2 linked regions of the Caenorhabditis elegans genome follow. The protein of the gene in region 1 interacts with the protein of each later gene in a pairwise test. Each region holds a gene or a part of one and is shown on either strand. Other genes may lie near its edges. The genes, in order: lev-9 and F57B9.8.

What was found.
Region 2: the proteins of lev-9 (region 1) and F57B9.8 interact in a two-hybrid assay, tested with the Caenorhabditis elegans proteins (one large-scale study listed by BioGRID).

What each region holds. Positions count from the first base shown.
Region 1 is NC_003284.9:6,288,269-6,293,581, reverse strand, and holds the start of lev-9 (Protein lev-9), read left to right. Parts: upstream 1-2,032; 5' UTR 2,033-2,054; coding exon 2,055-2,235; intron 2,236-2,300; coding exon 2,301-2,483; intron 2,484-3,032; coding exon 3,033-3,160; intron 3,161-3,212; coding exon 3,213-3,288; intron 3,289-3,357; coding exon 3,358-3,531; intron 3,532-3,908; coding exon 3,909-4,167; intron 4,168-4,221; coding exon 4,222-4,382; intron 4,383-4,426; coding exon 4,427-4,531; intron 4,532-4,578; coding exon 4,579-4,761; intron 4,762-5,313. Other genes in the region: mom-1 (Protein-serine O-palmitoleoyltransferase porcupine), read right to left, coding at 308-455. UniProt on the Caenorhabditis elegans protein: Scaffolding protein that is necessary to cluster acetylcholine receptors at neuromuscular junctions.
Region 2 is NC_003281.10:6,932,844-6,936,932, reverse strand, and holds F57B9.8 (Tyrosine-protein kinase), read left to right. Parts: upstream 1-1,613; 5' UTR 1,614-1,654; coding exon 1,655-1,711; intron 1,712-1,758; coding exon 1,759-1,977; intron 1,978-2,022; coding exon 2,023-2,187; intron 2,188-2,234; coding exon 2,235-2,546; intron 2,547-2,590; coding exon 2,591-2,875; intron 2,876-2,925; coding exon 2,926-3,222; 3' UTR 3,223-3,272; downstream 3,273-4,089. Other genes in the region: coq-2 (4-hydroxybenzoate polyprenyltransferase, mitochondrial), read right to left, coding at 35-156, 201-367, 683-789, 833-951; Cell adhesion protein byn-1, read right to left, coding at 1,280-1,405, 3,298-3,531, 3,580-3,675, 3,722-3,866, 3,918-4,007, 4,056-4,089.

The sequences.
Region 1 (5,313 bases):
AGTTTCGTAAAGTGCTAATATAATAGTTGGCTATTTTTGCACCATAGAAGTCGTTTTTAACAATTTCCGCACTGGCGTTACTCCACTTAAGACTACCGTCTCACCATGGAGCTCTTATCTCTAGCTAGATCAGTCTTACTTTGTGAAAATTTTAGTCATTTTTTTTTTGGCAAGATTAATAAAGCAAGCACATGTGTTTTCCAATTTGAACATAACAACAAATTAGAAACAAATTTGTTTGAAACAAAGTTTTTAAAACATTTTGTTAGGTATTTTTGTCTCAGTTTATATTTTTATCAAAACTTACGTATATGTTTGATGAATTTGAATGCAACGACCAAACATATCAACTTTGAAATTGTGAGAAATGTTGCATTTGCCACTTGTGTCGAGCACTCTCCAAGCGATCCATCTTCTAATAATTCGAATTCTTCATACCCGTGACCATTATCCATTTTCTGAAAATTTTTGAAATTGATGAAATATTAACGATTACCAAACGGCAAAAAAACTAAAAAGCTAGAAAAAACCTAGAATTAACCCAGAAAACCCAATTCAAACCAAAACAAAAACAACTGTCTGTACGAGTGAAATAGAGCGAATTTGCATAGTTCTTGCGTCTAACAAAAGGGGACAAATGTAAACGAGGCTACGCCGGAATGTGGGGAGAGGTCACACACAACAGATGTGCCTTGGACATGCAACCAAAGTTTTATGGTCGGATCGGTCAAGTGAAGTACATTTAAGCGTAACATGGTAAATCAAACAAATGGAACCAAAAAAAGTATAGTTTTGTTGGGGGAAGATTTGAGTGTCCCTAAAAGAATTAAAGTTTTATTTCGGAGATTGCGGTTCATTTTTACAACGGTCAGCACTATTGTTTGATGAGTTCATTTTACAGATATGTGATGAAATTACAAATTACATATTTAAAATGAAAAAAGACAAGATAACAGTTTTTGCAAAAAATAATGTTTAAGATCATCTCTTGTTTTCTCAATAATAGAGAGCAATAAAAAACCATTTTCCAAAAAAAAAAAAATGAAATTAGCTGCACTTTCTCGTCCGCGAGAAGCTATTTTTCTTCATCTCAACAGCAAACCAACAACTCGCAGAACACCCCCCCCCCCCCCGCTTCACAGGAACACCTCGCGGGGAGGCAACCAGTTTGTCAATGGGTGAGAGAGAAAATGTATGTATATTCACTTGCGTCTCTTACTCAAATGCCGTACGGGGGTATAGCTCAGGGGTAGAGCGCTCGCTTTGCATGCGAGAAGTCTGGGGTTCGATTCCCCATACCTCCAGATATTTTTTTATTTTTCAAAATGATTTTTTCACTTGTCCAATTTATTCCATTTCGAGAATGTTTTTTGCACTTTTTTTAAAATTCAACTATGGGGAAACAGTTCTGAAATAGCAAGCATTAATTATTGTTCTAAAAGTGCGGCGATTTGACAGAAATTTTCATTTTCGGCCATCTGCCGAAACTAAACTCAATTTGCCAAATACTTTTTAAGGGATTTTTCATAAGCAAAACATTTACAATTGTAACCTGTTTCCTGTTTTTTTATATTTTTCAGTCTACCAATTTTTTTGCAAAATCTCAAACTTCCACAATCATTCAAACCTAAAAGGCGATTTCCAAATAGGACGTTTGCCAAAAAATATGATTTGTCGCCCCTGCGATAAACTTGTATTTCTTCACTGATATTTCTCAAAATTCTCCCCTTTTTTGAATTCAAATTTTGGAGAAAAATAAAATAAAAAAATAAAGATTTTTCTGTAACCCTGTGAAAGTTGTGAAAACCGCAAAAATCACATCAAAATACCTTCACCTCTAATTTTTCAGCAGTCAGTTCCTATTTGCCACAATGTCCCGCAGCAAATAATTGATCAGACAAGCATGATACTCGAGCAACTTTACAATGGGAACCCTTGAAAAGACCCCAATCAATCAATACATTGCGTGTCAGCTGGTGAAAGAATGCCGTCTTGCAAGAACTCAAGCGGATTTCTCTTTTAAAATTTTCATAGTACCAAATCACATGAATTAAATGCGATTTCTACTACTACTCGCCATCTCCATTACCTACGCGTCGGCCCTATCTTGTCCGGAAGTTACTCTATCACAACGGCCGAAACATTGCAAAAAAGAGTGTATAGCAGACGAAGATTGTAAAAGAAACAAAAGATGTATGTGCGACGGAGAATGTGGCTTGAGCTGTGTGAACCCAAGTGAGTGATAAAAATATCTTGTCTATTGAGCAATATAAAAAATGAACTTTTTTGTTTTTATTCAGTTGCAATGTGCCACCCACTTCCAAATATTGAAAATGGATTTATACGAACTGCTGGTGATTTGCGATTTGGATCAAATGCAGAATATGGATGCAACAAGGGATATATACTAGTTGGTGCCAGTCAGAGAAGATGTCAGGCTAACAAAGAATGGAGTTCTTCACAACCTGTTTGCAGGTTACAATGTATTTTTTCAAGTTCCTTATTTAAAAAAATTATGTTTACGGGTTCAAAATAAAATAAGAAGATTTTTTAAGTGCACAAATAGTTAAACCTAAGTTTTTTGAAAAAACAATATAAAGATATAACAAAATTTATAGCAAGATAAACAAAAAATCAAATGCACTAAAAGATAATATCAAAATATCACCAATTTTGTGAAACAAACAATTTCAAATCTACTTTACTCAACGAAAAAAGATTTCAGCTTTTATCGAGCAGTTGATAAATTTAGTTGATTGGTGGCGGTGAGCTGTCAGCTGTCAAGTGGTTTAAAATTTAAAAAAAAAACGGTTAGGGGTATTCAGAAATAAATTAGCCTTACAAAAAAGGTTTTCACCACTAAAGTTCAATCTAACCAAATCAACTTGATTGAATACCAAAACATCGATCCAGAATATCTAGGAATTTTGTTTAAGAATTTTCTAAATTATGTGACTACAGAATTGCATGATTCCTCATCCAATGCTTTACGTTTCTTATCGACACTGCCGTATAATCCCAAAATATTTCAGTAAAATGCGGGCCACCACCGGAAATTCCATTTGCCGTTCACGACGGGTCTTCATTTTCCGGAGAGTATGACCTTGATGCTGAAGTTGCTTATAATTGCATACCAGGCTATCACAAATTCAACGCAAAAGTGAGACTTAAATCAAAATTCTCCATTTTATCTTTAAAAATAATGCTTACAGGGTCTTTCAATATCAAAATGTCTGTTGAATCGGAAAAATGTTGCACAATGGTTTGGACCTGATTTGAGATGTAAAGGTAAAACTTTGAAAATTTGAAAAAATGCGAAAAACTTAAACTTGCCCAATAAGTCAATGCAACTTTTAGCAAGAGCATGTCCGGATCCCGGAGATATAGAAAATGGTCTTCGAGAGGGAGATACATTTGAATATCCCCATCACGTCAAGTATTCATGTAACCCTGGTTTTCTTCTTGTCGGTTCGACTTCCCGTCAATGCTCCAGTAACGGAGAATGGACAAATGAGCCGGCTAATTGTAAAGGTACACTTTGAAAAAATTGAAAAAAAAAAACAATAAAAATGTTTTGTTGGTAGCCAGTTTGTTTTATTGAGCAACAAGTCAGTTTCGTTCGCTGGTGGCAACCGCAATATATCCACAGTAACCCTAAATCTTACAAAACTCTCTTGAGTAGAAATTGTGTGAATAGTGTTCCATGATCTGTGTGCGCGGACCACTCAAAATACCCAGAAAACGTAAGATGTTCGGGCGATAGTTATCCATCACGGACCTCGATAGTTGTACCACACGTTTTATATAGGCCACAAAAAAGATCAAAAATCAGAATACATAAGGACATACTGAAATACACTGCAAATTACCTATGTTATAATAAATTAACAACTCATAAACTTTTCCAGCTACTGAATGCTCTCGTCCGTCAAGCCCACTTCATGGAAAAGTTGTCGGTAGCTCATTGACATACCAGTCCGTTGTGACGTACTCCTGTGATCATGGTTATCGCCTCGTTGGTCAAGTTCAACGAATATGTTTAGCTGAGGGAATATGGGGAGGAAATGAGCCGCGATGTGAAGAAATTCGATGTTCAGTACTTCCAACCCTTCCCAATGGATACATTGAGGGCAGTGAAACGTCATTCGGAGCTGTCGCAGTTTTCAGGTAACGATTTTCCAAATCTAAACAAATTTATGTTTCTTAAATGTTTAAATTCAGGTGCTTGGAAACAATGACTCACGAGGGAGCGTCAAAGGCAAAATGCATGGAAGATGGTCAATGGAGTGCTCCGATTCCAAGATGTTTAGCTTCTTGTAGAGTACCACATATACAAAATGGAAAAATAAGAGACAAAAGCGAAGGTCAACTCATTGCGTCCGGTAGTTGTTTTTCTAAAGTTTAGAATAATTCATTCAAGTTTCAGGTTCCAAAGTGATTGTTGAATGCAATAAGCAACACGAAGCAAACATCGATGAACGCCTAATTTGTAGCAATTCCACATGGTCACATGTTCCAGTTTGTAGTCCTTGTAAGTTTAATTTTAAAATAGCATAAAACCACAGCTTTTCTTTTCAGTAAGCTGCCACAATTGGCCGCCAAGGGTTCCACATGCTCGAATTCTATTCTCGAAATCATCGCACGGCTCAATCGCCAAATATGAATGCAACAATGGTTATCATCCAAACAGAAATAATCAAATTATAAAATGTCTTTATGGAGAATGGACTAAAGACGGACCACCAATGAAATGTTTACCAAGTGCGTTACTCACAGGCCGAAAAGTGGTACACATCTGTCCAATTTTTCTACCGCATACTTTGACGTAGAGGTGTCAACGTGTTGTGGGCCGATCCAAAACTCAGTCGCAGGCCGACACATTACCACCTCTGATCTTTAGACGCATTTTTCTCCAAAAAGGGTGATCATTTGTAAATGATGTATCAAACCACAAGAAACATCATAATGATTGGATCAAACATTTTTTCCTTTTGCTCCGTTGCACTGACTACTTGCATTTGCGCTGATCACTTGCATTTGCACTGACCACTTGCATTTGCACTGATCACTTGCATTTGCACTGACCACTTGCAGTTGCACTGATTACTTGGATTTGCACTGACCACTTGCAATTGCACTGACCACCTGCATTTGCACTGACCAGTTGCAGTTGCACTGACCAATTTTAGTTGCACTGACCAGTTGCATTTGCACTGACCACTTGCATTTGAATTTCTTGAATTTGAGTTTATTTAACTAAAAGAAGAGAAATAAACAAATAAAACGAGACGAACCCTAAAAGAGTTCAACTCG
Region 2 (4,089 bases), on another chromosome or scaffold:
CCTTCAACTTCGTAAATATTTCCACCGGCCTTACCTGTACCAATTCAATTGTAGCAGAATAGCAAGCGAAGAACTGAGAAGTCCTGCCAAAAGCCCAATTGCTTGCTTTTCAGTCAACGAGCCACATGCTAATGGTCTTAGTTTCGTTCGTTCAACCTGAAACAGTTTTCGGTTTTTTTTTACTTCTCATTTTGAAAAACCTTCTTATCAAAATCCTTATCCCACAAATCATTGATAACACATCCGGCACTTCTCATCAAAAAAGCACCAGCTCCGAACAAAGAAAGCATGTAGATAGATGGTAATTGACCAGCTGGAGTTGCCATTGCTATGCTCCATGTGCATGGCCAATACAGGAGCCAGGTACCTGAAAAATAAACGTTAAGGACTCAAATCAAACCAATTGCGCACGTGAAAATTTTTGCGCCGAAAGTACAGTACGTGGTCTCGACACGACAACATTTTGTTGAATGCAGAAAGGTGCGTGCCTTTAAAGATTACTGTAACTTCCAAACTTTCGTTGCTGCGGAATTTTCATCGAATTTTCAAAATCGATTAAAACTACAGTACTCTTAAAGGCGCACATTTGTTTGTATTTTACAAAATTAATCGCGTCGAGACTAGGTATCGTATTTTCGGCGCAAAACTCCCAAAACTTCGCGTCTGTGTAATAATAAATTACCGATAGGCTTGTCGACTCTCATCAGTTGAAGATATGGCTTCAAATTTGGCGGAGAAGAAGCAACAAGGCTACTTGCAGTTGGTATCAGTGACATTGGTTGTTTTGTACTAAAATTATAACAATTAAAATTAAAATTTTCGAATTCTGAACCTAGTGGAAATCCATCTTTTTGTTGATTCATCTAAACTATATGAAGTGCTTGTATTTGATCCAACAATGCAATTAATCGAATTGGATCTTCTAGCGATACCTATTGACCTGGTTATCATTTTTTTTTGACGAATCTGAAAACTTTCTCTCGTCAAAGACATGATAACATGAATTTGAAAAAACAAGCATTAAGTTAGGGACGAAAACCTTTGCTCTTTGAAACTAATACTTTGTATTTAGAAAATCAACAACAATTTCATTTGAATGAGGAAGAGAGTAACATAACCAACAATGATGAATAAAAAACAAAGAAATGAACAATTTTTGGGGAGGGGCGCGGGGAAACGAACAATAATGGAAATAGAAGAAAAGAGCAAAGCCTACGTGCAGAATAGAGTGAAAGCGGGAAATATTTCTCTTCTGCGTCTCTTTCTGTTTGTGTGTGATTTAGAATTCCATACTATCCGTCTTTCGGCCTTCGACCACAACTGAAGTGATAACATGTCCGTCTTCGGTTTCCTTGGATTCGAGCTCACGGCGAATTTCAGGCGAGATGAGATAGTGTCCATGGAACTATAAATTGAAATTGGTTAAAAACAATGGAAACATTGAACTCATGGGACCATAAAACTTCGGAAATTACCTGACTTAAACTTTATAATTATGAAAAAAAAATTTACGTGACCAATGATGTGAACCCATACGCCAGGAAAAAAATTAAAAAAAAGAAGAAAACACGCATAAGATCGATCAGAAGTGAAATTTTAATCATTTCGATAATCGTAGAAATTAATTCTACACTCTTTTCACATAATTGGCGCAATGGAGATCAATGAGCAACCATTCTTTCACGGACTTCTTCCACGAGAAGAAGTAAAGGTAATTTGAGAGTAATATTTATTTAAAAGGAGCACCGACTTTTTCAGCTTTTACTTCAAAAAAATGGCGATTATCTGATGAGAACGTCAGAGCCTCAAGGACAAGCACGTCATTTGATCATTTCGGTGATGCAGAACGAGACAAGTCAAGAAGTTGCTCATTATGTGATTCGTACAAGCGACGGAGCATATTCAATCACTGATAAAATTAAATTTGGAACATTGACTGAGTTAGTAAATCATCACAAACAGGCTAAAATTAGTGAGGTACGAGCGATTCATGCACATTATAGACTAATTATTGTTGTTCAGGAAGTTGCAAGCAGTGTTCTAGTGAATCCTATCGGTAGACAATCATGGGAACTGAATCACGCCGATATTACAATGACAAAAGTTCTTGGTGAAGGTGCTTTCGGAGAAGTAAAGCTTGGGACGCTGAAAATGGGATCGACTACAGTAGATGTCGCTATAAAAGTTGTGAGTTGGACTAGACTTTTATATAAAAAGTAATGACGAAACTTCAGGCAAAACTTGAAAAAGTGACTAAAGAACAAATCAAGGAGATCATCACAGAAGCACGTCTGATGCGCGGATTCGATCACAAGAACGTTGTAAAATGTTACGGCGTGGCTGCAATCGATGAACCATTGCTAGTAGTCATGGAGTTAGTTCCTGGTGGTGCTCTGGATAAATATCTTCAGAAGAATTCATCGGTACAATGGCCTGAGAAACTGGATATAATCGCACAAGTGGCAGCTGGTCTGGCATACATTCACAGCAAAAACATTATACACAGGGACATTGCGGCCAGAAACATACTCTATGGAAAAGGCGTTGTATGTTATAAATAATTTAAAAGTTAATAACTAATAACGTTCAGGCTAAAGTCTCTGACTTCGGTTTATCTCGAGTTGGAACGGAGTATCAGATGGATCCGAGCAAAAGAGTTCCAATCAGATGGCTCTCACCAGAAACGATCGTTTCCTTCCTTTATACTCCACAAACTGATGTGTTTGCTTTCTCGATTCTCTGCTGGGAGGTGATCGAGAATGGAGCTCAGCCGTATCCGGAGATGTTGGTGGTGCAGGTACATCAGAAGGTTGGACGCGATGATTACCGTATGCCGATTAGTCAAAAGGCTCCAGCTATGCTTGCCGATGTTATTGTAAGTTCTATTTCATTCCACTATTTTCATAGCAATGTGGAATTTTCCAGAAAAAGTGCTGGATTCGCGATCCTCAACAGCGCCCCACTATGAGCCAAGTTGTCCAGATGATGTACGAAATCACAGGAAAGAAAGATAAAACCTCGGTCAACAAGTCGACAGGACAGCTCCGTGCAAAAATGATGTCTACTGGACCAATGTCAGATCCGATGAGAGATAAAACTGCTAAAAAGACTGGAAGACGTAACAAGAAGAAACCGTCAAGCGCATCGAACGGTCCAGGTGGCAACTCTGGGCCTAGTTCGGGTCCATTGTCTGGTAAGGATTCGAGACTGAAGAAGCCATGAAAATAACTCTCCTAACTAGATGTTCTCGTGATAATAAAACTCGAAGTTTTAATAGTTTTTAAAAATTAAACTTACTCTGATCAGCTCATAAATAGCTGCCTTCTGCTCGGCATTCAAATCGTTCTTGTATCGCTGGCACAGTGCCAAAAGACACTGATGCCACAAAACTGGCATATCTCGTTCATCGGTTTTCAGACGAATGAAGTGATTAACGACTCCGTCGACTGCACGATACGGTAAAGCATACTTCTTATCAATGAGAGCTCGAAGAAACACGGAATTAGCTCCAGTGTATTCCATTTCGGCAATCTGAAATATCAACAGGTTTTTGATGAGATATTTTAAAACAAAAGTTACCCTAAGCATAGCAGCAGCGGAATGAAAAATTGGAATCGGGACTTTGGTGAGGACAGAGCTGAAGATAACAGCTTCACGAAGTGTACATGTTCCAGACTGAGAAAAAAAGAATATACATGAAAAATATTTAAGTTAAACTCACTTCTAATAATGGAAGAATCAATCCTTTGAAGAAAGCGGCAGGCTTGTAGATAGCTTTGCAGAGGGCTTGATACAGATGATAGTTAAGTTTCTTGAATTCATCAATGTCGTCACGAAGACGTGGGAGAAGAACAAGAGTGTAGAATCTGAATCAAACGGTTTTAGAGCTGATATATCTAAAATCGGCATTTAAATACCTCTGACACATTTTTGGGTTCATGTTCGACGCAAACAATCTTGTGGCTTGATACATAGCAGCAGCCGTCCAAGTTTCAGGCTTTGTGAGGCTGAATATGTTTTATTTTATTCAAATCCGATACTAACAGACAACTAACAAAAGAATTTGCTCCCAGTTAATCATTTTTGGAA